Solanum lycopersicum: one gene and its partners. Each later gene encodes a partner of the first gene's protein in a complex. Links are inferred from orthologs where the notes say so. Each region holds a gene or a part of one and is shown on either strand. Other genes may lie near its edges. The genes, in order: WPP domain-interacting tail-anchored protein 2, myosin-15, RAN GTPase-activating protein 1, WPP domain-interacting protein 1 and RAN GTPase-activating protein 2.

The links.
Region 2: WPP domain-interacting tail-anchored protein 2 (region 1) and myosin-15 share a complex: the UniProt entries of both Arabidopsis thaliana proteins name them as parts of the LINC complex. The link is inferred for Solanum lycopersicum from reciprocal best matches to the Arabidopsis thaliana genes WIT2 and XI-I.
Region 3: WPP domain-interacting tail-anchored protein 2 (region 1) and RAN GTPase-activating protein 1 share a complex: the UniProt entries of both Arabidopsis thaliana proteins name them as parts of the ran complex. The link is inferred for Solanum lycopersicum from reciprocal best matches to the Arabidopsis thaliana genes WIT2 and RANGAP1.
Region 4: WPP domain-interacting tail-anchored protein 2 (region 1) and WPP domain-interacting protein 1 share a complex: the UniProt entries of both Arabidopsis thaliana proteins name them as parts of the ran complex. The link is inferred for Solanum lycopersicum from reciprocal best matches to the Arabidopsis thaliana genes WIT2 and WIP1.
Region 5: WPP domain-interacting tail-anchored protein 2 (region 1) and RAN GTPase-activating protein 2 share a complex: the UniProt entries of both Arabidopsis thaliana proteins name them as parts of the ran complex. The link is inferred for Solanum lycopersicum from reciprocal best matches to the Arabidopsis thaliana genes WIT2 and RANGAP2.

The regions. Positions count from the first base shown.
Region 1 is NC_090804.1:5,112,477-5,118,505, forward strand, and holds the start of WPP domain-interacting tail-anchored protein 2, read right to left. Parts: upstream 4,117-6,029; 5' UTR 3,626-4,116; exon of another isoform or gene 1,856-3,625; intron 1,492-1,855; 5' UTR 1,468-1,491; coding exon 927-1,467; intron 829-926; coding exon 1-828. UniProt on the Arabidopsis thaliana protein: Together with WIT1, required for the nuclear envelope docking of RANGAP proteins in root tips. Plays a role in nuclear shape determination.
Region 2 is NC_090807.1:50,256,338-50,261,874, forward strand, and holds part of myosin-15, read right to left. Parts: intron 4,734-5,537; coding exon 4,528-4,733; intron 4,344-4,527; coding exon 4,224-4,343; intron 3,065-4,223; coding exon 2,966-3,064; intron 2,844-2,965; coding exon 2,622-2,843; intron 1,369-2,621; coding exon 1,229-1,368; intron 988-1,228; coding exon 876-987; intron 773-875; coding exon 722-772; intron 631-721; coding exon 541-630; intron 197-540; coding exon 14-196; intron 1-13. UniProt on the Arabidopsis thaliana protein: Myosin heavy chain that is required for the cell cycle-regulated transport of various organelles and proteins for their segregation.
Region 3 is NC_090808.1:59,909,959-59,916,060, reverse strand, and holds the start of RAN GTPase-activating protein 1, read left to right. Parts: upstream 1-2,215; 5' UTR 2,216-2,500; intron 2,501-6,102. UniProt on the Arabidopsis thaliana protein: GTPase activator for the nuclear Ras-related regulatory protein Ran, converting it to the putatively inactive GDP-bound state. Plays a role in spatial signaling during cell division.
Region 4 is NC_090809.1:845,500-851,728, forward strand, and holds the start of WPP domain-interacting protein 1, read left to right. Parts: upstream 1-2,043; 5' UTR 2,044-2,388; intron 2,389-2,935; 5' UTR 2,936-3,015; coding exon 3,016-4,036; intron 4,037-5,758; coding exon 5,759-6,229. UniProt on the Arabidopsis thaliana protein: Mediates and enhances the nuclear envelope docking of RANGAP proteins mediated by WIT1 and WIT2 in the undifferentiated cells of root tips.
Region 5 is NC_090800.1:74,924,284-74,930,602, forward strand, and holds RAN GTPase-activating protein 2, read left to right. Parts: upstream 1-2,758; 5' UTR 2,759-2,853; exon of another isoform or gene 2,854-2,902; intron 2,903-3,775; 5' UTR 3,776-3,786; coding exon 3,787-5,439; 3' UTR 5,440-5,705; downstream 5,706-6,319. UniProt on the Arabidopsis thaliana protein: GTPase activator for the nuclear Ras-related regulatory protein Ran, converting it to the putatively inactive GDP-bound state.

The DNA of each region.
Region 1 (6,029 bases):
GTTGTTCTTGACCTGCTTCGGATGATGTCTTAGCATTTTGTAGCTGAAGTTCTAATTCCCTGACCTTCTTCTCGAGAATGCTGACCTTTTTAGCATTACTTTCATTACTACTCTTGAGAAAATCCAACTCTTCGTGCAGTTCCAAGTTTGTCTCCGTCAAATGTGCAACCTTTTCCTCTGCATTGTCAGCCTTATGTTCTGCAATATCGATGTCTTCTTTCTGAGATTCTACAATACATTCCAGTTCTTTAAGACGCTCTTCGCTTACTTCATTCAGTTCATTTGCTTTCAGCAACTTAGACTCAGATTCTTTCAACTTATCTTCTGAAAGTTTTAGCTTGTCCCTTAACGAGGATACTTCAGTATTTTCAACAGCAAGATGTTTGTTGTTGCTATTAAGGTTTTGTATGGTAATATCTTTAGCATTTATCTGTCCTATGCAATTATCAATCTTCAATGTGAAATCTTTCTCTCGTTGAAGTGAACCGTTCAAATTGAAGTTAACAACCTGTAATCGGCTCACCATCTCTCTGGAAATTCCCATAAGTACCTCTGCTGCATTTTCCGACTCTAAAAACCTACCCCATATAACCTCTGCACCCTCTTCCATGCACAGAGCTACTTGCTCGGTTAACCGGAGCTTCAACTTTAGATCATCTTCATTTTGTTTATGTAAAGTCAACTTCTTCTCAAGATCCAGCTCTCTTTCGAGAGATTTTTCCAACATTCTTAATATACGTCTTTGCTCAACTGTCTGTGCGTGTGGCTTCAATTCTCTTGCTGAAACATTATTAATATCTGATAAATCCAAACTCATCCTATGTCTCCCTGAAAATACATGCACCAGAAAAAGATGTAATGTCTTTGATATGTTAGTAACGAGAGGGAAAAACACGTTCTTGAACCTAATGAGTTTCACAACTTACATTCATTTTGGTCGAAAGCTAGCGAGGTCATCTGCAATTTGGCAAGCTGCATCTTCATTTCTAGGACACGTTCCTTCGATATTCTCAATAACTCTTCAGTGTCATGAAATTTGTTCTCCATTATCACATGCAGCTCACTAAATTCTCTGCGCGTAGGTATCTTTTGCCTTGCTTCAATGACTAAGTCTTGAAGAGTGCCTAAGAAATTGTCCAGTTGTCTTATCTCAGAGTTCAAAATGATAGATAAGTGATCCAACGACAGAACTTTCTCAATCGATTCAGGAGAAATCTCATCATTCTCGAAAGATATTGCTTCAACTTCATTTTCGCAGGCCAAGACACGCATCAAGAGATTGTCAAGATTCGTCAACTTCTCATCAGAATACGCAAGGTCCAAATCTACTCTACTCAATATTTCCATGGAACTCCTCATCTCTTCCATGTCCTTGGCTTCACTTGAGTGATTTTCAATCAACAATGTTTCCATTACTTGTGGATTGACAATATCAGAAGTACGGACAGCCAATTCTTCAATTGCCATTGATCAGCACTTCTGATAAGGCAGCTGCAAATGGGAAGGAAAGCATAACGAGATGAGAATGCAGGTCCAAATTGATCAGACCAAATGAATTAAGTAGGCACATAAAAGGCGTAAGAGTGCTTGAAGGGATATATAGCAAACACAAGGTGTTAATAAGCTTATATTCTCGATTTGACATCTCTCTATGTCTTGTACTTTAATGTGTGCCAAGGCAATTAGTCAGCTGTACATGGTTTTGACAAAGTTAACAGAAACCGCATTTCTTTTGTAATAGTATAAGTCAATGTTCGATAGGAAGACGATAACGCCCAAAAGAGAAATGGAAACAAAACATGATGAAAGGTAATTGAGACATTAAAAACCCCATATAGATCATCCTCATGCTTACACCGATGAGCAGATGCTTGAAAATTTTACTCCACGAGCCCCTTATACAAACATAACATGTTCTGAGACCACAAGTTTGTCTGGAGTAAAGGTATGCTGTTGTATTGTCCAACCCCATAACATCTTTTATCCAACCAACGGAACTAATCAGTTGGTTATTTACAGATACTCAATCCGAATTCTTCACTCATGCTTCAACCATACCTTCATGGCTTTGTGAGGACTTTCCTTGACGCAATCTTCTCACTTTCTCCTCAAAAATAAACCAAACACTGGTGCAACTGAATATTGAACGAGAACAGTGTGCAACAATCTGTTGCCTCATTGTTCTTTGAGAAAATATTGAAATAGCTAGACAACCACGAGGAAGATTCAGATATCAAACTTAGGACTAGAGCAATACGAGGCCTAATTAGCTAAAATGATAATAAGGATTATTGAAAAAGTTCATCTACCTACAGTACATTAGAGTTGTATCCAAACATTTATAGACATCAAATTGCTTATATTTGTTGAGAATTCGACCACACAACTTCTCTTCTATCTACCTACTAAACAAGAAATCACCCAAACTGTCAACACAAGCTATTTCAGGTCATTGTACCCAGAGCGTAGGCAGGATTATCACTAACAGAATTCAAATTAAAAAGAAGTAGACACATTAAGAAACCAAGTGGATTCAACATACACTATATCCACATACAAATAATCTTGATCTTATCTATACAATGTAATCTAACGGTTAAGGGGGCCTAGCTCCCCTCATAGCTTCACTTAGTGACTTCAACTATGTATGTCACACGAAACCTAATGTTTCAGAACATGGAGCTTCTAAGTACTTATGGCCTCATATTAATAGTGGCAGCACAATTTAACTTCCTCCAAACTCAAACACAGAAATTGTTGTGTCCATCTCTTGTTTTAGTGAAAATTGAAGGATTTTCCAGAAGAAATTAAAGTACAAACACTAAACAAGAAACTTTTTTTTACAGCTCCCACCCTTTGTTTTGCTCCTTGTAATTCAAACTCAAAACCTCAGGGTTACAGGTATAGGAATTCTTATAGTCCGAGCAACCCTGCTTGTTCTTAAAGAAGAAACCTTTATACCAACCAAAACACTATAATTACACAAAAGTAAGTAGAATTTCAAACACTTGTCTAAATTATGAAACAAGTAGAACATAACCACCACCAACTATTGCAAATAGCCTTAAAGAACCAATAAAGCTTCAATCTTTACAAGAAACACTAAACAAGAAAACTTTTTTCTTACAGCTACCACCCTTTTTTTGCTCTTTTGACTCGAACTCACAACCTCAGGGTTAGAGGTAAAGGAATGTTTGTCATCCTAGCAACCCTGCTTATCCTTTAACAAAAAGCCTTCTTACCAACCAAAACACTACAATTACACAAAAAAGTAAGTAAAATTCTCAAACACTTCTCCAAACTATGATATAAACCAAATATAACTATCACCAACTATTGCAAATTGCCTTAAAAGAACCAATAAAGCATCAATTTTTCAAGAAAAAAGAACAACACTTAACTTCCTCCATACTAAAAACATGTGTCCATCTCTTGTTTTAGTCAAAGCTCAAAGTTTTTCCACAAGAAATTATGTACAAACACTGAACAAGAAACCTTTATTTCAACTAAAACACTATAATTACACAATTCTCAAACACATAACTATAAATTCCCTTAAAGAACCAATAAAGCTTCAATCTTTACAACAAGAAGATCAAACAAAACAAGATTTTTCACTACATACCTTAATAACATGAAAGATAAAAAATGGCTCTTATTCTCATAACAATAACTTGAATAGAGTGGCAAAGAATATTTGTGATCTACAAAAGGGTCAACCTTTGAGATATTTTTAGGCTTATGGGGTTGGTGTCTAAAATGTTACTAACGTGGGTCCCACAACAGTCAGACCAACCAATCACATTACCCCACGTCAGCAACCATACCAAAAAAGAGACAAAATCTAATGACCTTCATTAATTATTGGTCACAAGAATGAAACCATAAACATTAATGTTCATCCTCTGCAATTTGAGATTTCTTGATTTTGGAGAAGTTTTTTTTTTTTTTTTTTTTGAAAATGGAAAGGAAAAAAAAAGGAGAAATTTGAGTGGAAAATGAAATAATTGTTGGAGGAGCGCACGTTGGGTAAGTGGTGGTGGGGGTATAGTTGTTTTGATACCAAAAACTTAATAATTGAGGATTAGACTATTGGGGTCCAAACAATCATAACATATAAAATAATAATGCTAAAATTAAGGCTAAGATGATTTTTTTTTTGTCTCATTTCGATATTTGATATTTTCTATGAGGTTTGACTCAATTAGACTCGAGATAAAAAGTAAAAAATTATTTTTCAATATTCAGAGTATCATTTCAAAATTTCTAATTAAGAAAAAAAAGAGCATTTACTATTCTAATATTGACTAGAACCTTTGATGGTGACTAAAATGTTGTCAATTACTTCTAATTATAGGACTCATTTAGTTTGCAATTAAGAGCATAATAAATGGAATTATTTAGTACCTATACTTTTTTTCTTTATAGATATTTGATTCATTGCATTCAAACTTACCTAAATTGTTATTTCTAATTTTTTTAGAAAAATAGGAGGTGGACTAATTTAGAAATTTACTTTTTTTTTATCAAAAAATTGGGATTTTATTCATACTGAAAAAATAAGGGAAAATTACATGGGATGGCAAACATCCCTATGTAATAAGTTAATAAGGGTATAGTTTAATTTATTTACGGTCAGTAAATATAGTTTTATTTTTTTTGCTATAATTAATGGGACTACTATCTATTTGTATACAGAATAAAAATAGTCATCTAAAGATTTTTATATAATTTTATTTAAAATTAAATTTATCTCTCCTATTTTCATTCCATATATTTTCCTAAAATTACTCTTCTCTTTTAATTTGAATTTCCATTGAAAAAATTTTGACCTTCTATCTCTGATGTTCTTCCGCTTTTCGTAGGTAACCGCCAAATTCATGGCTTTCAATATTTTTTTCTTGATTCCTTCTATAACAATTGTATATGTAGTATGATTGTTAGTTTTTTCATATTTTTTTTTAAAAAATCTTTATTACTTATCAGATTACAAGTCTTTCAAAATCAGAATAGTTAATTTCTGTCCATGTATGAGAATTACGAGAGGTATGTCATTGCATGTCAATGTTGTTGATAATCCACCCTCGTTTCAATTGGGTTAACTCAGGATTCTAGGTTAATGTAGGGTATATGGCAAAACATAAACAAGTTTAAGTTGAACAATCTATTGAAGAATTGAGATCAATGAAAAAAAATGACCCAATGGCAATTCATAAAGTCATCAACAACGCGAAATCTAGCGGCATTAAAATTGTTGAAGGTGGAAGTAAGAGAAAAGTCATAAACATTGATTCAGAAGAGATTGAATTTGTCTCATCAGAACTGGACAAATCTGAAGAATATCGAGAACATCAGGTAGTGTAATTTATATACAAATTACAAAGTTATGTATATAGTGATTTGTATATTAAGTTAATATATACAAGGTATTGTGAAACAGTTCGTAATTGTATATTCTATTAGTTGAATATCAATTACTAAAGTTAGGTATATAGCGGGTTGTATATTAAGGTAACATATACAAAGTCTTATGAGGCAATAGCTATTTGTATACAATTATTTAATTTTGTATTAAGAAATTTGTTAAAATCACTCTATAATATTATAATACATTATACAAATTCGTCGATATATACAAAAAATTATCAACATAATAAAATATTGTATATATAAACGTTACACCCTCAAATATAGAAACATATTTCAAGCTTACTATATATACAATTAACAAATGAATATTATATACAATCAGTTTGATCATTAATATTTAAAAAAAAAACATGAAATCACAGATGCACATATATAACTATAATATATATACCAAAATTATTGTACATTATACAAACTCCTAGAATTATACAAAAAAAATAAAATAGGAACATAATAAAATATTTTATACAAATAGATTACCCAAAAAAATTAAAAAAATATATGATGGTCATATACGGTTTAAAACACAAAATCAATTACACACAAATATTGTATAAAAATTAAATACAATTTCGCAAATATATACAATATAATCAATT
Region 2 (5,537 bases), on another chromosome or scaffold:
TTACATATATTACCTTCAGAACTTCATTGATTTCGGCAATGATAAAGTCAAAAATAGCAGTCCTCTCTGACTCAAAGGCATGCCAATGAATAAGGCACCTATAGATGACACAAGCAGCAACTGGCTTTCCATCTTTAAATCCCAAATTCTCCTTGATACACCTTGAAAGAATTTCACAGTTCTCCTGCAAGAGAGACTTCATTTTAAAGCAGCATACATTAGAGCCACCATTACTTAAACCTTTTGCACTAGTTATCCACCAAAACTACAGTTGCGGGTGGATGATAAGTAACACAAAAGGGGACTCATCACTGTTCCCTCACAAGGGAAATTCATTCTTTTATTTGTGTTGTTTAGAACTTGAAGGAAAGTAATGAGATTTCATCCTCTATAATCCTCGTCTACTACCCCAATGTTAGTATCCTTCATCACTCATGTTCCTAATTTCTGACACTTTGCACACACCTCCCCAACAGTGATAAGCAAGCAATCATAGCAAATAAGAATATCAATCATCACTAGTTGGATATGGAAAGCAACCTGCTGCCTTTCACTGGTCAACTTAGCTCTACGTGAATCAGAAAATCCTTGAGCAAGAGGCGCTATCATTTTTGTTGGGGTGGGAGATTCCTAACAAACAAAATAAGTGTGTTAGAGATCAAGGAACATAAAAATAGAACTATGTTCTTAAGCTAACACAGCAAAAAAAAAAGATACATACAAATGAAGTTTTACGATCAGCAGAGGGCAGAGCGAGTGCACCAGAGAATTTCTGCACAAAGGGGACAAAAGTTTATTAGATCTAGAGGAACGGGAAGCGAGGAAGAATTATCCACCATGGATTATACATTGCAATTTAAGAAATTACAGCTTACATCGCTAAAAGACTTGGCAAAACCTGGACGATTGCTTCTCGGAGTTGCACTCAATGCTTTCTGTCGGAGGATAAGATTTTCATCCTCTGAATTTGAGAGCTTCTCCTCCATACTAACATAGAGAAGATGCACATGTTTTTAAACAACTGGAAATCAGCCAGTTAAAAAATTGTATATGGTAGCACCGCAAGAAATGGATGTAAATAGAGACTGAAAATCTACATTCCTAAAACTTAAACAGATATCGTTTTATTTCCTAAAATATGTATAAAGTTTTACCAGTAAAAAGAGGCAGAAGACTAACTATGTGATCAGATTGCCAAACAACTCCTCTTTGATATATCTAAAATTACCTTTTTAAGTTCTGTTGGAGTTGTGAACATGTCTCTTCAACTGCTCTCAACTTGGCAATTGTGTCAGTAGACTCTTCTTTACCCTTTATTAGCTCATGCTCCAATGCAGAGTTCTTTTCCTCCAAGGCGCTCAAAGAACTCTGCAAAGCCACCAAAATAAGTATCAACGTCAAGTCTTTGGGCCTTCTTATAAGCTTCAAATTGTTAAAGAGCATCCTTTCTGCTCTAAAGAAAAACCAAGTATTTAAACCTTTAAAGTCATAGTATACCAAAACAGGCAAGTAGTCTAGAAGCAGTATTTTGTTAACTTATTTAATCAATCAACAAAAACATACCCGGTGTAATCCCACAAGAGGGGTCTAGTGAAGGTAGTGTATAAATAATGCCAAATGTCAACTAATCAGGAAACATATGATTATCTGATCTACTAGTAATTAAAGAAAAATTACTCGTGGCCATAGAAACCCTAAAAGCATCCACCCACCCAAATCCAAGTACCCCTGCCCCAGAGAAAATAACTGTGAAGAAAGAACAAATGCAAATATTTTTTCTTGATAACAAAGAAATCCTCACGGCCTATGTCACATGGTTTGAAACTTGCTGGATAATTGGCCTGTTACTACACCATTCTCCACTTATATGCTAAGCTTTTGTCTACTGCAAGGTTCGAACCTATGGCATGTGCCTAAATCCTAGTCCACACATCATGCATTGCGCTGTGGAGGTACAGGTATGGGTCGCCCAATTCCAGTTCAAATCTCTGTTCGTCCTCCAAACTGTTCACCTTAGAACTGGTTCAATTATTAACATTGTATCAATATCGTATCTTGTACTTAATTCAGATTCTTCAGGTTGAGAAAGGATAAAAAATTATGAATTGTATATGTTTGGTGATACTTGAAATCAGTTAGACCTACATGGAAATTGCTGCTACTATGTTGTAATTATTGTTATAGCTTTTGGGGTTGAATTAGGCTCAGGTTTCATATATTTGCCCATCCCAGTTTGTTGTTTACCGATATTGGGCACCCATTTAAAAGTGTTCACGATCCAGTTGAGATCTGGCTGTGCGGGGGAGTATTAAGAAGTCCCACATGGGTAAAAGGATGGGAATTTGGTCTCCTTATATGGACTTGAACAAACCTCCCCTCATGAGCTAGCTTTTGGGGTTGAGTTACGCCTAGGTGTCATATCTTTACACTTCCCATTCTAGAGAGTGACTGTGAGACTATTAGGTCAAGATGCTTTATGAAGTTCAAGTAAGAGGGGTGCTTAAAAGATGCTCTCAACATCTAGAACTAAATTTACAAAAGGGCATTAATCATCAATTTCAAAAATGAGTCTAATCAGAGTTGTGGATGCAAACAGATACAGAAAATCACACTGATATGACCTTCAGAAATATATTTTCATTTCTCAACTCGGTCACGGAAAAAGTTTCTCTTTCCAAAGCAGCTTTTTCCTTCATGTATAATTCCAGTTGTCTCTGGAGCACAGCATTCTTATTGACCTCATTGACTGCAGCCAGCTTCGCTGCATCTAACTCGAGGATTAAAGATTCTACAGTCTTGTTAAGTTTTGAAATTTCCACTGATTTAGCCTCCTCATTTGATAGCTGCATCACAATGTTCAAACAATATTTCATTCCATTAGCGAGCAAAATATGGTGAATTTGATAAAAAAATCACTACTGAAGCGATAAATCATTTACATATAAGTTAATCACTGGAACAGTACCCGTAATTTTTTTTCTAATTGCAACCTCCAAGTAAGATCCTCCAACTGCCTTTCAAGCTTGGTTTTTGCTAGACGGAGAGCACCAGCTTCGTTAGCTTCCTGTACAAGGGGAAAAATATAAGTGTCAAACTTTTCAATAAAAATAACAGCTGAACTACATGAAACTTGGTGGAATGGAACTTCATCACAGAAACTTGGAACTTCAGCTTTATTATTATCTATAAGGATAGCAAACCCACAGGATTGAATCAATATTGAGAAGATCCTGTATTGGCTATATTCAACTAAAGTATATAAAAGGAATTTGCTTACATATCTCTGTAACATTAGTTCTTGTGTCTCTTTTCAGATGGGGCAAGAGAAACATATAGAATCTCAAGCAACAGTAAAAGAAAGAGCATCAATATCCTAAAGTTACTGTAAGCAAAAATAAGATGCAAATTGAAATATCCTTGTGGAAAAGTGTATATGTGTTTTCATGGGAAGCATAGTTTTAGCATCGATGTAGTTTATGTTATAAGCAGAAAATAATGCAGCAAAATAAAGATGATCCGACAAAGAAAACAACAACCCTAACATGGCAGTCCTTTTAAATGAACAGTCTGATGACCTGACTCGTACAGAAAAGGCAACAGATGACATCATTTCTCACTTGACTGCTAAAGTCAACTGTTTATCACTCATCTTACTCACAGAACTTTGTAGCTAACATCTAAATCACTCGAAATTTGTGTCCTAGAAGGCTATGGCTAGACATATTCTGGCATTTTTCTAATGCCTTATACTAGCACAAAGTTGGGTAAAATTACTCTGGACTTAAATTTCATTAATAGACTAATTGGCATGATCACTAAAAGCAGAAGGCTAATCGTTGTCAATTCTTCGTATTACAGCATTGCATTTTCAGCAGATGCAATAATAAGCTTCTTTTGAATAAAAACAGACTGACCAATTGACATGGTCACCAGTAGTGGCAGGCTAACATTGTCATGTCTTCGTGTTACAACATTGCATCCTCAGCAGATGCAATCATAAGCTTCTTTTGACCAAAAGCAGCATGCAATCAACTAAAACGTTAATTCATTCCATGAAAACATTGACCATCCAGCTTACAACATTTTACATGCTTACTAGCCACTTTTATCACATTTTTGTCCTTGTAAATGAAGATATCTCCATCAAATGGAGATATTTCAAGCAGAGATTTGTTGGTACACACGAAGCTAGACATTAAAAACAGAAGTACTATCCTTCTCACCTTTTTGAGCCTTCTGAACTCCCTTGTTGCCATTTTTCGCCTCCAAAGACATTGAATTGCAATAATATTGGAATGACGATGACGAAAAGCAGAGCGAATCTTGCACATTCTCCAATGTGCCTATGCAGTAGCAGAAAGAATATCAAGCATTATCTTAGAACAATTTCTATTTTTGTTTTTTTCCTTTTCTTTTGGTGAGGGGACAAATACACAACTGTATCCCTCTAAATAGTGCTAGTTTGAATTTTAAAGCACAAATTTATGAATGTATAAGATATATCAGGTGGCAAAGGCATATACTCACCTGAATGATAGTAGCAGCCTTATTCTCCTTCCTATGTAAGAACTTCTGTCGAGCAGCAAAACCACGAGTGCAAGACTGTATTAGCAGTGCAGAAGCATAAAGTTGCTGATAAGCATTCCTCATGATCCACTGTCGCACGTATTTTTGGATTACAATCACAGACGATGCTTCCCGCAGTGCAGTATATATATTACGAGCAATATAACCTGCAAAAAGAAGGAAATGTTTTCAAGCCTCATTTAGTGCTTATTCCAAATAAAAGACGGGAAAAGCTACCTGACATTAGCATTAAAACACATAAAACATACAACTATAAGCAAATAAAAAATACACACGTCAAATCACACACTGTTGGGACCAGTCTGGAGATTTATCTTTTTTTTCAGATATGATAAGTAGGATGTATAGTTTTCTCAGAGCCAATTACTAGAAAAAAATATATAGTAGACCAACAATTACAATAAAAACACGATCTGAAGAAAAATCATGACAATCTATTTTACTTTTTTACGGAAAAGGGTCAAAACTGCCCTTAAACTATGTGAAATTGAACAATAATGCCCGACGAGTTAATAGTTTGGTCCACAAATGCCTCTATTGTTACTTAATGGGTCAAAAATATTATTTTCCTGATAAAGATAGGAAAAATTACTTGAATGAATGTGTTTTAATAAATAATTACTGATTTTAGCGATACTTTATATTTATTATCATTTATAGCAATACTATGTTAAATCTGCAATATGTATTAAAAGCGAATCAAGTATGCAATATATATGTATTATAACTATTTCTAAAATAAATATATTATAAAAAGTTGACACATAACACATTGTATTATAAGTGTACTAAAATGTGTGATAAATGCATTATCCATCAATAAAACTTGTATTATATGTGAATAATAAATTGACTTTTTGTAATATGAATTAAAAGTGTATTATATATGTATCAAAAGTGATAAAGTGAAAAAAAAATGTTATTGCTATAAATGGTAAATATTTTTTATT
Region 3 (6,102 bases), on another chromosome or scaffold:
AAGGCATATTATCATTTATATGGAATAAGGGGCTACCTTTTAAAGTGAATTTCTTCTGGTGTTGTGGAAAAAAAGAATTTCGACTGATGATAATATGAAGATGATGAAAATTCAGATAGCGTCTTGATGTTGATGTTATTCAGATAAGAAGGAGGAAGTAATGACACATGTTTTTCTAACAACCCTCCATAAACATCATGCTTTAGAAGCAATTTGCTAATTTTGTAGGTATAAATATGGAGAACAAGCAATTACAACACCTAATAATCACCTGGTGGAAGCAAAATCAGAATGCCAAATTGAAAGTGGTGTTGAATGCAATGCCAACAATCACCTTGTGGACAATATGGAATAGGAGGAATAGCTTGAAGCATGAATGAACTACCACATACAATGAAATAGTGATGAAAGTACAAGAAGCAGTGAGGAAGCTCATCAAAGTATTATACCCCTGGATACATCTTAGGAATGACACATGGCCCCAGATTGTCACAAATTTAAAAGAGTACAAGCCTAAACTATATGATCACTATGTAATTCGAAGGAAACCTGAAAGAAATAGAGTAAAATGCAAAACAGATGAGGAGACAAAAGAAAATCTCGGTGCAAAATCAATAGGTTTTGTGGTGAGAGATGCGGAAGGAGACCCGTTATATACAAGGGTGAAAAGAATAGGCGAAGCAAACAACATGGAAACATACATGGAAACAAAATCTCTTACTTTGCTAGAAGCAGTTCACTATTGTCAAGAGGAAGTTTTAAGAGAGGCTATAATAGATTCAGGCTCACTATGCGTAAAAATTGGTGGAACGAGAGTGGAAAGTATCGTGGGACATAGTAGAAAGAACTGAGGAAATCAGGAAGGTCATTCAACCATAAATGCCTAATCACACATACTTTTAGAGAAGGAAATTTTGCGATAGACTCTTTGGTTAATGAAGTAGTAGAATCGCAGGAGACAAAAAACTATCAATTTTTTCAAGAGCTACCAAGCATTACAAGGAAATATCTAAATATAGAAAAGGCGCATACACCAACTAGAAGGTGAAAACACACAAAATGAACATTCAATGGAAGCAGTGCAGGAACATAAAGGAAATAACATAAATAAACATCACGGAGATAGTCACGTAAACAGAATGCATATTTAAAAAACATCAGACACAAGAGGAAGCATAAAGCACAAATATTTCAAGATGAAGTATGCTTCTTAGAGGGAAGTAAAATTGAGCAAAACAAAGCTACAAATAGAGTTTCTAGCTATAAAAGAAACTTTAATATAAAGGGGGCTTGTTGGTCAAATTATTTGAGTTGGGAGTTAATGACACCAGGAATAAACGGAACATCAAGCGCACAATCGGAGTCAAATATGAGCAAAAACGAAGCCCACCTATGATCCCTTGGGACTACACCTCGATCTGAAAGGGAACGAGAATCAGTAGCTCATACACGAAAGAAAAAGAAGGATATAAGGACGAAAATCTTACATGTAAGCAAGGAGGGCGGTAGAACTTCAAAGGCATTCAAGGAGCTAGATGGAATGATACCACGTCAAAAATCACAAAGATTACTTGGTCAACCATGAAGGAGACAACTTAGAAACGGCGGAGAAAGGATGGAAATGGGGTAGGGTTTTAAGAAAGTCAAGTGAAAGGATAGTTGATGGAAGAGTTTTGGAAACTCTACATATTATTTCCTTTTGGACCCGGGTACTACTTTTTGGGCCAAGTCATTTGTTGTTTCATGTACTAATCGGGCATTAGCCTACACTAATAAGATGATCTTCTATCAAAAAATTAATTTTAAAAAACATTTTAGTGAATTATGATTATACAAAGTAATAAAAAATCTTAATCGAACATACCAAGAGGTTGCTAAGATATCGGAGATAACAATATTAGATTAAACCATCATAAGAATCAATAATAGATTCAAATACAAACATCTACTGCAATTTAAAATAATTCCCCAAAATATCAATAGGTAATGATGACCTTTTGTGGATATTTTCAGATTAATAAAAGAGATCATAAAACTCTAGATGAGGAATTCAACGGCTCAGGGGGAAAGAGAACCATGAATAGAAAAATCCCAAGTTGAACGATTGTTATAGAGTTTGAGAGCGAGAAAACAATTAAACAGATGAATATTTTTAAATATTAAAAAGAAATAGAATAGAAATGAGATTTAACGAGTGTAGTATAAAAAACTTTACACTATAGTGCACACAAGTTAATTCTCCTATTTCAAATAGTTAAAAGAATAATTTTGGCCCTTTTTGTGGCTTAAAAAAAGGGGCATTTTCCCTCCAAATCGAATTCCTCAAAAATTCACGACAGCAGCACACGACTATCATGATTGCACATAACTTGTATTTGAATTAGTTTTAATTATCTCTTTATCTTTACTCCAACTCCACGTCTCTCTCCCCTCTCTTTTCTAGGGTTTTTTGGATCTCTCTCTTATCCCACTTCGCCACTTCTAGGGTTTCTTCCAACCAGTAAGTTTCCTCTTACTCCTCTCTGTTTACATTCATTCATGAAGATTTTAGGTCTGATTTTGTTTTGTATTGTTCCATTTGTCTATTCCTTCAATTATGGTTGCATTTCCTTCTTTTTTTTCATCATTTGAATGATATTTTCTGCTTCGTTTTAACGAATACTGAGACTCACTTTTAAGTATTTGAATTAGAATATAGTTTATGTTTCAGTGTAGATTTTGATGGAGTTCAATGAGTTATGCCTCAAATCTTAGAATAGTTGATGTAGACAATGTGAATCATTTGTATCTGTTCTGCTCTATGTGTGCCAGTTTTTAGTTTTGTTTAGTATATTTAGAAATGGACATTGAAGGGAAATGCATTTTTTAATGATGGCCTTAAGGATGAAGGTGTTTGGTTGGATTTTGTTTGTACTAAAATGGAAGAAATGTGATATAGTGGGATTTGTGAACTCTTATTCATGGCTCTGCTGGTTACACTTATTCCTTAAGACCTTCAGTGGCAAGTATTATTGTTTTTGTTTTTCTGTAGTACTCTGTAGAAAACTTGAGAAGTCCCAGTGATTTGAAAGAGGCATGCTTAGTTCTTGATGGCTCCTTCTATCTAACAACGCCGGACAAATGAAATAGTACAAAATTTGTTTTGATTCCGTGATCGATCAATCTTCGTCTTCAAGAGGAAGGGAGTGAGGGAGAAGCAAAAGATGGAGTCTTTAGTCCTGTGGCTATCTGAAAATTTTCCCATTAATCAACACAAAATGCCAATAAATCTATTTCTTATTTTCTCTTGAATTCTATTTGAATTATTGCTTGATGCAAGGGAAAAACCAAATGCTATAAACTCAAAAACTTTGAGATATGAACTCAAAAACTTGCTCGAACCTTGACTAATTCCATGTGGTACCTTCTACCTTCACCAACACAATTACCAGTTAACTCTGTCAACCAAGGCTTAAACAAATAAGAAGAAATCACCTAGTGTTTTTGCTGCTGATGGAAAATGAACTCATGATCTCATGGTTCTCAACCCCTTTCCTTGACCACTGGGACACACCCTTGGGTGCCTCAAGCATAATGAGTTTTTGTGTGATATTTGCTCACAAACTTTAGAAATTACTTTGGGAAGTAAAAGAATAGTCATCTTGAATCATGGATAGTAGCTTATCATAAAAGTGCATTTTCTTTTTATTTGGAGATGAGATGGCAGCAAAAATGGAATAGTTCACCACCTTTTGTGAGCCTTTTGGCCCTCTACAAAAGGGAAACAATAATACTTCAATAGATTAATCGAGCTCTTAGCCTTCTAATGGTAAGTGCTTAGATTTGCTCAACTGACAAGATATAACGGTTAAAAGTCTGAAGTCAACTTCCTTTTTTGGATCAAATATATGATTTATCATTTAGTTAAATACATTGTATTTGGTGCACAGGGGAGATGTTTCGTTTGAGGAAGATATTACCTTATTGCACCAGTGTGATGCTTGTATGTAATTTTAACTCTTGTGTCTGTGTTTTGCAACTTATGACCATGACCTGAATGTCAATATGCACGATCCTTACTGTTATCATATGACTAATATCATTTTAGAAGTCTTGCATTTATTGGTCATTCTGCTAGTGCAGTGAGATAAAATAAATCTGCTGATCAAGTGACTGCAAACAAGATGCCATCTGTACTTATTTTATGTGCATTGCAGCACCTCAGCTGAAAAGCTTGGAAGGTGCTGAGAAAAGACAAGAAATTGGAACAATTTAATATTAACTGACGTCAAATGTCAGAACTCAGAACTGTTTGTTGCTACTTGCTTGTTGTGGGACAACTCATGTTTATTATCCTGAGGATATATACTTGTAAGAAACATTATTCAAATGATAGACTATGGAAGAAATCTTCCTTTTTCTTTGAAACTCAAAAGTAACAGTGCTGTGTGGAAAATAGCGAAGCTTGTTGCTGATAATGCTTGGTGGTTAATTGTTAGTCTTGTTTCCCATAGTACTTTCTTGTGGAAAGTACCACTAGGCAGGTGCGGATCCACATAGAGCTTCGGTGCTCGAGCACCCATGGACCCCTACGTGAAATGTATATAGGTATATAAAAAATACTATGCAACCTATATAATTAATTAGTAAGCACCCGTTAAATAACTGTTGGATGTGACTCGTTGGTTAGTAAGTGGGTGCTGAAGCTGTGGTACCGCAGGTCACGAGATTGATCCTCCACAAGTAATTTTTATATACTTATTAAGCTGTCTAATTTTCTATGTTTAGCATAAGATATTCACGAGTGTAAGAGATGTTATTATTACTCATTTTAATTTTAAAATGCGAAAAGTCGTCGAGTACATTATAATTTGACTCAGTCTTCTTTCCCGATAGTAATATTAAACATGACTTTTGCGTTAATGTTTTTCACTATTGTGTTTAAATAGTATTTGCACTTGTACTAAATGAACAGTAAAATTTAATGTTAAAAAAAGTGAAGCACCTACTAACTTCAGATCCTTGATCCGCCACTGCCTCAGATCCTTGATCCGCCACTGCCTCTAGGTATATCTTATCAATGTGTAATCATTTATTGAAGTGGGTTGGAATAGAATTATTTGTGATTGTAGTAATGACATATTAGATTTGATCTTATTCTGATCACGCAGGTGCTTTGGCATAATCTTTGCACTTATTTAGATGTTAAGAAAGTTATTGGATAATCATTTTCTTGCATGTGCCTGTAGAAGGATTCATTTTCCTTCAAGTTTCCTACACATTTTGGAGGATTTAACATAGAGGAAGGTTTTTACCATTTTTCAGACAACTTTCATAAATGCAAGAAAGTTAACCATCTGGCCCCTTTCTTGGCAACCACACCATAGTGTTAGTGTAACAATTTGTTGGGCTTCTTTTGGAAAGAAAATGCTCACTAATTGGAAAAATAAATAAAAGCACATCGACAATTGTTGAAGTGCTTATCTTTTGAGCTCAGTCACTGACATGCTGAAAACATACATATGTACCCTAAGTTGCTCGGACTTGGGTGCGATGTCTGATACGCGGGTGTTGATCTAGATGTCGGATCCTTCATGATCAAAATTTTACGATCCAGGGGTTTGTATACCGGTGCAAGGTTCAGCTAAAATAATTTAAATATCTAAATGTTGGATCCTTTATGAGACATTATGTTGAAAACGTCAAGGTATTCCGTGGAGAAAATACTAATCAAGAGGAGAATCCCAAAAGGAAAGAAAATAAAAGGAAAAAGGACTGACATAGAAATTTCTATTTACAAGCTATTTCATTTTCTTCAATTTCATCCTAGTTTTTGTTTTGATTACAGAAATCACAGGTATCTGTACTGAATTTCTCAGTCAATTTTGGTCAAATTATTCAAAATTGGTTGACCAAATCCATTAAGGATCCCACACCCCATGTCGTATCGACATGGATGCAATACCAGAAGTGGAGTCCGAACAACTTAGCAGTTCCAAGCACATTTGTTATTGTTTTCCTTGTACTTGGAAGCCGTTATGTTCAGTATTAGTGCTGCAAAAACTCAAAAGTTTATTAGAGAGTGTCCTTGAATAATTTTTGCAAAATTTTAAACAGAATATA
Region 4 (6,229 bases), on another chromosome or scaffold:
CCAGATCCCATGTGTGGGACAATACCGGATATGTTGTTGTATAGAAGTCAAGATCTATTCCTTGTACTTATTTAGTAGTTACTTGGTTCTGATGAACCCATAAGTTATACACTACATTTGGCCCCTGTTGAAATGCTTTCATTTCTGGCCAACTATGGTCCTCTTGTATTGAAATGCCGATGCTACTACAGAGTTCCATAGCTGCTATGACTTCTGCATGTAAAGGAGTCTCTAAAGCAAGAGATACTGTAAAACAGTGCTGAAGCCGTCTTTACATTGGCTGGTTTGGTCTTTTGATGATGGTCGGACTCAGTCACTCATGGAAGTGTTAGTCGAGATTATGTGCACTGTATGGCCTTGTTCGAGGCTGCTCTTTAAATCTACCCTCGTGTGTTCAGTGGACTAAGCTTCACATTTTCAAGTGGTTGAATGGATTTATCTCTCTGTAGATAACTTTGATCTACTAAACTAATGGGGACAAAGTTTGTCCAAATGCTTGTAAGAACTCAAACATGGGGGATGTCGTCAGTTCCTGTATTGCCCTCGAACTTTTCCATTTTTCACCATTTAGAGTGGACAACTATGACCTTAATTTGACGTTAGTTGACAACTATGACCTTTAACTTTAGTTGTGCATAAGTAGACACTTAAAACTATAATCTTTAACTTTACGTGGCATCCTACATGTATTACGTCCTGTAGTACACGTGTGTCTACTTGTTCAATTTTATACAAGTGTAAGTGACTATTTGTGCACACTCAAAGTGGAAAGGCATACTTATTCGTTGAAGCCAATTTAAAAGTCATATTTATGTATTATTCTTTTAGAGTGGGTACCTCTTTTGTTGTCACTCGAGGTACAATATTAGCTTTAGAATCAATTAATTTGGATTCGTGTTGGAAATTGCCATGAGGTGAAGTGTTCCTTATTGAAGGAAACAAAAAGATAGAACAATCCATTTATTCGAAGAGAACTCTTTTGTTTTTTTGAAAATAAATGTAGATCTTATTCGTGAAGATAGAGAGATCGTTTTTCAAAAATAAATATAGATCTTACTCGTGAAGATAGAGAGATCGTTTTTGAAAATACAAATATATGGGAAGGTAACAATTAAATGCAACATGTTTCTCTGTCAAATACTCTGGCAAAGTGCCTAATTATTTCCTCTCACACAAAGAAGATTCCATCAATAATTGAACACACAGATTTGACCTCCACTTAGTTATTTCTGCAGTGTCATTTTCCATTTTTTTCCCCTAAAAAACACTGCATCATGTGGGTTTCCACATCATCTGCACACTACTTTGCCCCACTTTGGTCTCTTTATCTTCTTGGCTCTCCCATGTTCTATCCACATCCTTTTATTATAATCGTGACGTCTGAGTTAGTTTATACGTATCTCGATTATATTTTAATAAGATATCTACTAATCTTTACCTCCCATCAATACATATATGTAAACTTTTTTCACATAAAGTTATGTACAAATGAAAAGATATTACAAAATTTATATTCGATACTTGCATAATTCTTAACTTAGTTCATTAATCTAAAGGAAATATTTCACGTGGACTAACACAACTTTATTCATTATAAAAAATAAGTACAAAGAATAGTTTTTAACCAATTAAATCAAATTGGTTGTGTTAAATTTTTACAAAACTAATATGATTTCTTTTTATATATATATTTTTAATGATTTGATTGATATAATAAGTTAAGCTAACGTTTTAATTTTGGTTACCGTTGTGTAATAGCATGTTATAGAAATTATCACATTTGTACCAAACAAAACAATGTTGTTGATGAAACGGTCACATTTGGTATTTAAGTTAAAAAGTATAATCTTCTATCGAGATTTCAAATCGTGCACTACTAATATTCGACCTTTCTTAGTGATATTGCACTTAGATATAGAATATATTGTGACTATGAGTTATACACGTTATGAATTTTAAACATCAAGTTAGAAATTTAAGTGGAAGATAATAATAAGCGAGTTTATTGCTTATTGAAATTTCAAATCGTGCATCATAAATATCGAGTTATTGTGTAGTGATTCCATCGCAAACATAAAGTAATCCCCCAAATTCTTAATCTTTCGTAATGTCAATAGTAAATTAGAAAAAAAAATTGAAGTTGTCAACTTCTTCCTATAGTTCATATAATAATTAATAAAATTATTGAAAATAATAATAATCAATTACGTATTATTAACAACTCCCAACCCGACCCGATCTACCCCACTCCTTTTCAAGTCGTCTTCCCCAAATTATCAGTTGTAGCAATTTTGTGGCTATAAATTTCTGAATCCACATCAAATCTAGGGTTTCCATATTCCTCAATTCCATCTCATTTCTGCAAATCCATCGATCATGGAGGAGAAGGTATGAACGATTTCGTATTCTTTTTATATAGCTTCACAAATTTATGAATTCATTTTTAGTTCCAAATTGAGCATAATCCATTCATTTAGCTGAATCCACTTATTTTGCTGTTGTTGTTAGTGTTTTTAGCTGGAATTTTTACTCAAGCTATGCAATTCAATTTATAGTGAATTTTGATAGATTTTCAGTTTCCATGAACTGGAATGATGGTTGTTTGTTTGTTCTCGATCTTGATCTGAGTTCTTCATTTCTGTTTTTTTCATTTAATAATGAGTGCAGTTTAATCTGCTTATATTGGACTTTCTGTTTATGTAGTGTTCTGTCGCTTTCCCAACTTTTATTTGTCTATTCAGTTCATTATCAATTTACTGGATTCATCTTTGGTTCCAGATTGAGTATAATCGATAGTGATGATTTGTTTAGCTAAATCCAATTAGTTTGTTGCTGTTAGTGTAATGATCGGATAATCCAATTCATTTATCCAAGTTATGTAAGTAAATTCTCGATCTCGATCTGACTTATTCTTCTTCTTTATGTTGTCTAAAAGGCTAAAACCCTGAACTTTATGCTGTAATCGAACTTGATTGGTCAAAGTTTGGAGCTTTAGTTGGTGGAAGACATGAAGCAATGACCACCACACTTCAAGATTTGGATGATCCAGATCGGAACAAGGTTGAAAGCAATGGTTCCAGTGTTATTAATCACAATACCCCTATTTTAGATGAGTCTAAAGGTAAAGGTATTGAAACTGCGGACCCAGTGGGTTCACCTCCCTCAGTGAAATCCTCACCAACAGCTAAAGGATTTGGCTTGAAGAAATGGAGGAGGATCAGGCGGGAAGCACACAAGGATGAGGACAGTAACACAGACAATGCTAAGTTGTTGAAGCGTGGTTTGTCGAGCTCTGCTGCAAACTCAGCAAAACCTGTACATTTGTCCACTGGATCGATCCGAAATAGTGATGGATCTGTTTCTTCAGTAAATGCACTATTGGGTAGCCCTGATGTTCTTGTTGATGGCTTTGGTCTTATTGGTAATTCTGGGTTGGCGATTCATCCTATATTTTTGGGTGGAACAGACTCGGAAAATAGTGAGGATCGGAGTAGTAGGTCTTCGACTGCAGCCAGTGCTCCAAAGTCAAGGTACGAAGCACCTGTTTTCCATGGTTATATGCCTGTTAAGAATGGGCCAGGTACTTTGGGTGGGAAGATGGGTACTTCAGCTCAGCAATCTCATCGGGGAAAGGGTCAGGCTGAAATTAGTAAAAAGCCTAGAGGAGAAAGGGTCAAAATAGAGAAGGAAAACTCTCATTCAAGCATGGAATCCGACTCACAAAGCTCCAATTTTCTACCTATGCAGAGTAATAATCATGCAACAAGTAATGGTATGAAAGGTGGAAGCTCAGTGAATAATGATGGACAATTCAGTGATGAAGTTCTCACCAGAGAAAGACCATTCAGCGAGGAACTTCAGACTGCTCTAGACAGAAGAAATGATAAGGAGTGTGAAACTCAAGAAGATCTAGGCGTTGAATCCGCCTGGGAGGTTAAAGAAGAGAGGAGTGGGTATCAGGGGTTGTCCACAGATCATGATCCTCTGCTGGAGTCTATCTTCACCCTTCAAGCTGCTCAGGAAAATCTTGAAAGAGGTAGATCTTCAGTTTTCTTTGAAGTATACGATTTTGAGCCTATTCTAGTATGTTCTTTTTTTGGTTTTGATTATGCCTTCTATTTTCTGCTTGGAGTCTTCAGCATATTGTATGAAGCAAATTTCTTTTTTGGGTGGAAGTTTATTCTAAGTTCAAAGAAGTATTAGAATGATTGCAGTCATTGCATAGTTATGTGCGACGTCCCCACACCCCGCGACCCGGACGCGTCCCTGCTTTCCCCAAATTTGAACATTTTGTTGTCATGCCCAAGAATTTAGGACTGGCATTGCTTCAGGAAGAGGTGACAGCAAGTCATGAAATTCGATCTGATGTAGTATTGGTAATCTTAATGGTTATGTACATAATAGAAGGATTTGAGTGTGTTCTAATGGTTTTCGCTATGATGCATTTATTGCTTCAAGAATCAAGATTATGTCAAAAGAGTTAAGGTTATTGAAACAATACCATTAAGTTCTTCAGTTTGCCTAAAATAATCCTTTAACTTTGTTCGTAGCTAGTACAACAGATGTTGGTTATGCTTTTTTTTATTTTTTTATGATGAAATATTGGTTATACTCTTTGAAAAGTTGATATCTATTTGTTATAATAAATTCTGATATTGCAACATTGAAGGTGGATAAATGTGTTGCTATTTATTATTTTGATATTGTTGGCTTGCTCAAGATATGTAGTTTAAGCACCAGGACGTGCATTTTCATTGGCTGTAATTAACATGTTCTGTTCTATTTTTTACCACAAAAAAGGTTTTGGAGGAGAGATAATTCTGTCCAATTTAAGGCATGAATAGCCAACATGTTTCTTTGGAATATGGGGAGTTAGAAGGTGTAGTGGTTTACTTGGGACTTAAAACTACAGGTTTTATTCAGCCGAAGTTGAGGAAGTGATTTGGGTAAGAAAAGGTCCTGATAAAAATACAAGGATTTTTAAATGCCTCGGAATATTTTCCTGTTACAGTTTTCTGTTTCTACAAATATTCCTGTGGTGATTGGTATAAAAGTAGGGACTCCGGAATAGAAAGAGTATCTCGAGGATTAGGCTGTTTTTGGTGTTTGTATTAATTGCAAAGCAGCAGAACAGTCAAGAAGATGGAGAAGTAAAATCACGAGGGAAAATGAAAAAATTGTCTCAGAAGTCTCATAATACTATATCAAATACTGTAACGAGGAAGAGTTAAATAAATTGAAAGAATGGCTACACCTGATCTCTTTCTGCAATATGATAAGAGTATCCTATGCTCCTTGAAGCAAACAGATTAAACTTAAATCCGACCTAAAGCTCTCAATAGCAAATGGTAAGCTGATTCTAGTAAATATTGTTCTGACTTTCTAATGGACCCAAGGGCTTTTATATTGGTGAAAGGTTATTGGTCTCTCTTTCTATGAATGGCTGCAGTGCAAAGCATAAGGACCAATTTCTTGCTTCTTTTTTTTTGTCGTTAAGCTTGCCCTGCTTTTGTTGCAAGGAAAATATGCAGATTGGGATGATTATCTCATGCTGTTCTTGAGCTCTTTAGACCTCTTTTAGTTATTGTTTCTTTAGCACTTCAGTCACTTTGTTTACATGTATCTTCTGGACCTTCTTTGTGCCTTTGACTTCATCAATCTATATTTACCCTTCAACCCATAATATAACGAAGAAATCAGTTACTCCATCTAATACCTATTATCTGATATTAATTAGTTTGCATGCTTTTCTCTGCAGAAATTCGGAAATGGAAAGAAATTAGAATAGAAGATGATGTCATTGACCATTCTGTTCGGGATGTTGGTATTATTTCAGACTTCAGTTCAGGTGACACAGATTTTCCTGGACCAAACACATCTGAACAGTCACAACCCAGTAACGGTGTGCAACATTCATTTAACTCGTTGGAGTCTGAAGTAGTCAGCTTAAAGCAGAATGTTATACTATTGCAACACAAGCTTAATGATGAAGCAAACTTGATTAAGTTAAAGGAAGCCAGAGTTGCTGAACTGGAAGCCATCTTAAGTAGTAACACGGAGAAGGAAGAAAAGAGAACAGGAAATGACTTGCACCAGAGTAGTGGGGACATTGAAAAAGAGCTTGAGGGCCTCTTTAGGCAGAAGATTGAAGCTGAACTTGAGTATTTAGTAATATCAAGAACCATCCAAAAGTGGAGAGCTGCAGCAGTTGATCAAGTTACTCTCATGG
Region 5 (6,319 bases), on another chromosome or scaffold:
TCTTAGTAATTAAATATGAATACATCAATAAATCATTATGTTCTAATCATGTAGCCACAGTTGTTGCTCGACAGATATTCTCTTCCAAATTTCTGTTATATTGATTAAGTAATTAAGTAAAAAAAAATTAGAAAAATCTTAATAGTTCAATTAGTAGGCAGAAAAATCTTAGTAGTTCAATTAGTAGGCCGTTAATTTTTTTTTTTACTATTAGCGGGAGGTTGCGCCCCATCATGTAATTATTTTTTTTTACCCTTAATATTTTTCTTTTAAGAAACAAAAAAAATAAGAATAAATAAATAGCAACAAATTATATATATATAGGGCTTCTTATATAACTGTATAGGTGACAAAAATAATTCAACAAAATGGTCATATTATATGCAATGTATAGATATTGTATAAATTATATATAATCATGTATATATGATGTATCTATATACATCTACTTTTATTGTTTGTAAAATATATTTTTACATATGCATATATGTTTTTAGTTTCTGATTAACTCAATTTTCATCTAAATAGTCATATAACTGGATTGTATCATTGTTATGTATATTAGGTACATGCTTACGTTCAGATGAATATTTATAATTCAAAGTTAAATCAATAACATGTATATTATTCTCCTTCATTAATATACACAATAAATACACACAAATTCTGTGTCTGCCCTTCTTCAACTCAATGTATATAAGCAACTCTATATTGTTGTAGTATATATATAACATATATATTTTTTTAGAAAAACTAATGTTGTTGCATCGTTTCTTTAATAGGGTGATTTTGAACTTAATATATTTACAAAACAATAAGTAGAAGGGAAATATAAGCTAATAAAAAGATAAATCAAATTTTTATTTTTATTAATTAAATGTAATGATGTGTATATTTATTTTAATTTGATGAGGTTCAATTATGTAATTAGATGTATCTCACTAATATTACTTTATAGATGATATTTATTGTGTATTTTTCTTTTTATCTAATCCGCCACTGGTCATAACTCATTGAAAAATCGCACTCCTTTCAAAAAAGTCACAATTTATCGAAAAATCACAATTTTTTAAAAATTCACAACCTAAGTTAAGAATATCATAGTAATTTAACATTAAGTTAGGAGTTCATGCTTTTAAGAATATATATATATATATTATATTGATTTTTTTAAGGATACTATGTTTTTTATGATTATTATATCTTTGATGAAACATGAGTACTTCAAAAAACTTATAAGTTTGTACTTTATTTTTTTTTATGTCGTTTGAATAAAAAATCTATGTTAATAATTTATTAACCTAGCACTTCATATGAAATATTTGATTTCATAATTATGATAATATTTAAACATTTTTATTCCAAATTAGAAGATTCAAAATATTATATATTGTATTAATTTTGTATAAAAGTAGAACAAAAAATCGACGCATATGTAAAAATAATCATAGTTAATACAACCGTTATATTAAATTTACTCAATGTATGTGTTGGACATATTAAATTTTAATTGTATAAGAAAATATATAGATGAAATCATGAAAATGAGACGTTATTGTATTACGTGTAATTATAGTTATATTGCAAATTTTAACTTAATTTAATCTTGTTAGATGTTAGTTTATTAGCATTTTAATATTAATATTTAACATATTAAATTGCTCACTAACATCATATAATCTCGTGAATAGTTTAAATTTGCTAAAGCCTAAATGGCTTAAAATTATGATATTGTTTAAAGTAATATTATGATGAACATAATTTATTGCTTTCTATGTTTATGATAGATAAAAATCTAATAATAATAAGAGATATAAATTAATATAGTGAACAAAATTTGTTATATTCTCACTTTTAAATTCGACAATATAAACACGAAAAAGTTAAAAGAGTAGCACTTTAATTTTAGAAAATTTCAATTTGTGTAGAAATAGAAGTGTAGTAGGAAGTTTTGAAACTTTTTAGTTGGATAACCATTATTTTTTTCAAAATAAAAATTAAACCCCATATGACTAACTAATAATATACGTGTTTTTTTTTTTCAAATACAATTTTGTAATTTTATTTTTTGTAGCGTTGACACGTAGGTACTATAAAAATAATATTTTTAAAAAGTAAAATTACAATTATTTTTTTCAAAATAAAGATTAAAAGCCCTCGACTAACTACCAATAAACATGTCTTATTTTTTTTCAAAACAATGTTATAATTTTTATTTTAAAAAAATATTATTTTTTTGGCGCGCTATCACCTATATATATATATATATATATATATATATTGATGGATTGATAATTATGACTAACTATCAATACACGAGTTTTTTCAAATACAATTTATAACTTTTATTTTTAAAAAAATATTATTTTTTGTGGCGCTTACGCGAAAGCACTATCACCTTTCCTGTTATACATATAGATTATTTTATGAGTGATTTTTTGAATCTATAAATATAAATATTTCATACTTATAAAATACACCGTAATAGAAAAAGAATTATCTCCTTTATCTTCATGTCTTGCCATTTTCAATTTATAACTATATTGTTATGAGCTTAATTTTGTAATAATTATTCTCATTAAATAAAAAATATTTTGAAAAAGAAATCCAACAATTCTTTGATTTTGAATGATTTGTTTATTTTAAACTAAGAAAAAAAGTTATTATTCAAAATATATATATATTTTTTTTACATTAGGTTATCTCTCGAGTACAAGATAGTCGAATATAAAAACACTGTTCCCACACAACACACAGCACACATTGCTAACTTCATTTTCAGTTGAGATTTTCTTCACTTCCACTCTCTCCGGCGGCGCGTCGAACTCACACATTCTCTCTCGTTGTTTGCCGGTGAGTTACAACACACTCACTCCAACGGTAATTAGAAAAATCCCCAAAAGTAATTTTCTTTTTCTCTTGATTTTTAGGGTTTTCGCGGTTATGCTCTGTATGAGTCAACTTTTTTGGTCATGTGATTTCACAGATCTGTGCTGGATTTTAGTATTTTTTCTTGTTTAATGTGCTTTAGTTTTTGCTTTTATGTAGTTTTTTTATGTTTATTATTTTGGGGTTGGTAGAGTAGAGGTTGCAATTACTGGGAGGAGGACTACACTCTACAAACCCCCACTGTTAGGTATAAAGTTTTTATTTTTCTCGTGAAATTTCTTTGTTTGTAGGGGAAAAAGAAGGATTTTTGTTTTGTATTACAAGTTTCTGGTGTTTTTAGCGGCTCTGTAAATTGTATATATGTTGCTCTGTTCTGCTCATATGATTCCTTGGTAATGTGTGGTATTTTTTTTTGTATCCTAGAAAGTTTTTTTGTGTTATAGTGTGAAATGTGAATATACCTGGGAATGTACCATTTTTGGTTTTTGAGTTTTTTTTTACATTGTTGGATATGAATATGGTGCATTGCAAGGTGGTTATAAAATGAGAGAAAATTCAATCTCGTTTTTGATGATGGATGACTGTAGAAACTTTCCCGTTCTTTTAGACACCTGCTTGGTGTTTTGTGGCGAAAATATTGAGTTGTCAAACAATTATATCTGATTTCTATGACGAAGAATTTGAGCTCTTGAAATTTGATTCGCTTTATGTTAAGTTTTTCTTGTAGGTGTGCACGAATTGTTTCTTGCCTGGTACTTTGTTTTTTGGTTGTTATGTTTTTAACTGCCAGAGCTTAATCTTATAGTGGTTATATTTCTTGAAAGATAATCACTTTATTTTTCTATAGAAACTAAAGACACGATTCACTATATTCCTTTCACTCTAGGTTTTCTGCCAATGGATGCCACAACAGATAACTCTCAGCGCAGACCGTTTTCAATTAAACTGTGGCCTCCAAGTGAGAACACAAGAAAAATGCTGGTGGAAAGAATGACGAATAATCTTTCTAGTCCAACCATTTTCACCCGCAAGTACCGCAGTCTATCCAAGGAAGAGGCTGCCAAAAATGCTGAAGAAATTGAAGATGCAGCTTTTACCATTGCTAATCAACATTATGAGAAGGAGCCTGATGGTGATGGAAGTTCTGCTGTGCAACTTTATGCCAGGGAATGTAGCAAGCTTATCCTGGAAATTCTAAAAAAGACTCCCAAATCAGAGGACAAGGAAATTTCGATTTCTGAGGTAGTTCCTACTGTTCAGGAGACCTTTTTTGATATCTCAAAAGGTAAAAGGGCTTTTATTGAAGCGGAAGAGGCTCAAGAACTTTTAAAGCCATTAAAAGAGCCTGGAAACTCTTACAGCAAAATTTGTTTCAGCAATAGAAGCTTTGGTATAGATGCAGCACGTATTGCAGGCCCTATCTTGGCAACCTTGAAGGATCAGTTGAAGGAAGTTGATTTGTCAGATTTTGTTGCCGGAAGAAATGAGGCTGAAGCACTTGATGTCATGAATATATTCTCAGAAGCTCTAGAAGGTTCTAACTTGAAGTTTCTGAATCTCTCTGATAATGCTCTTGGTGAGAAGGGAGTTAGGGCATTTGGAAAGCTCCTTCAGTCTCAAACCAACTTGGAAGAATTATTTTTGATGAATGATGGGATTTCACAGGAAGCTGCAAATGCTGTTAGCGAGCTAGTTCCTTCCACCGAGAAGCTTAAAATTCTTCATTTTCATAATAATATGACTGGTGATGAAGGGGCTGTTGCGATTGCGGAAATTGTGAAGCGCTCTCCTTTATTGGAAGATTTCAGGTGCTCTTCTACCAGGGTAGGTTCTGAAGGAGGGAGTGCCTTGTGCGAAGCACTTGGGATGTGCTCCCATTTGAAGAAGCTTGATTTGCGAGACAATATGTTTGGTCCAGAAGTTGGTCTTGTGTTGAGCAAGGCACTCAGCCAACATGAAAATCTTAAGGAAATTTACCTGAGCTACCTTAATTTAGAGGATGAAGGAGCAATTGCAATAGCTAACGCTCTTAAAGATTCAGCCCCTTCACTTGCTGTCTTGGAGATGGCAGGTAATGATATAACTGCTGAAGCTGCTTCAGCAATAGCTTCTTGTATAGCTGCAAAGCAGCTTCTTGCCAAGTTAAGCTTGGGTGAGAATGAACTCAAGGATGAAGGTGTAATTCAGATTGCCAAGGCATTGGAAGGACACAAACATCTGACTGAAGTTGATATGAGCAGCAATGCACTAAGGAGGGCTGGGGCTAGGGTGCTGGCTCAAACTGTGCTGCAGAAAGATGAGTTTAAATTACTAAATGTTAATGGGAATTTCATCTCAGAAGAAGGCGTTGACGAGTTGAAAGAGATCTTCAAGAAATCTCCTGAAATGCTTGCATCCCTGGAAGATAATGACCCGGAAGGAGAAGACGAGGGTGACGAGGAGAAAGAATCTGGAGATGAGGACGTTGAGGATGAACTAGAATCAAAACTGAAAAACCTGGACGTCAAGCAAGAGGCAAGTGTTGACGCACACGCACCAGATAGCAATTAGAATCCAGTACTTGACGATTTTTCTGCATGTGGCAGTTTTAGTTTTACCATTTTCTTTATGCTAAGCTGGCCATATTATGTTCCTCCAGCAAGTGCTTCTAACATATAGTTCCATCAGTAATTTAAATTTGGTGGAATTGAACTGTTGCCTTAATTGGTCACGTTAGGTCTCTAGTTGAACTATGTAGGGTACGAGAGAGAACTACTTTTTATTTATGTTGAACCTTCTTTTGTGTTATGTAGACTTTAATCTTCTTCTTTTCTTTTAAAATTTCCATGATGCATTTGACTTGTTTTTTTTTATCGGTGAACGAAATACGTGTGCCGGAATCATCGTGAAGTCCTTGGTCTACTTCCATAATGCATTAGTATTTTTCACTTTTTCGTCCAAAAGATAATGTGTTTTTATGAAAAAATTGTTACATGAATTCAAAATAAATAAATAAAGATGTCATAATTTTTCAAAAAAGTAAATAACAAAGTTGATAATAGTAGGCATTTTAAAGATTTAATTAGGATAGAAGAGGGAGTTTGCTTCTTGTTCAAAGTTGAAAGGCTGTTTAATTTTTAAAGTAAAATTTGATAGGCAATACAATGCCACATTCTGGGTCTGTTAAATACTGGACAAGAGTACAGCCTTCAAAATAGTGAACTAGCTCGTAACATCAACTTGAAAATATGCTGGACATGGCAGCCAAGCTACTGAAACTTAATCCACCATTGACTCCAAATTAGAATAATTAAGAATTGTAGCAAAAAGCTAATGGTACATCTCCAATTTTTCCACTACTGCACAGTTAACTAGTAGCAAATGCAAAACCTAAAAGGTATTAGATGCTAATATACATGTAAGACACTGAGTCAAACAGACGACTAGAACC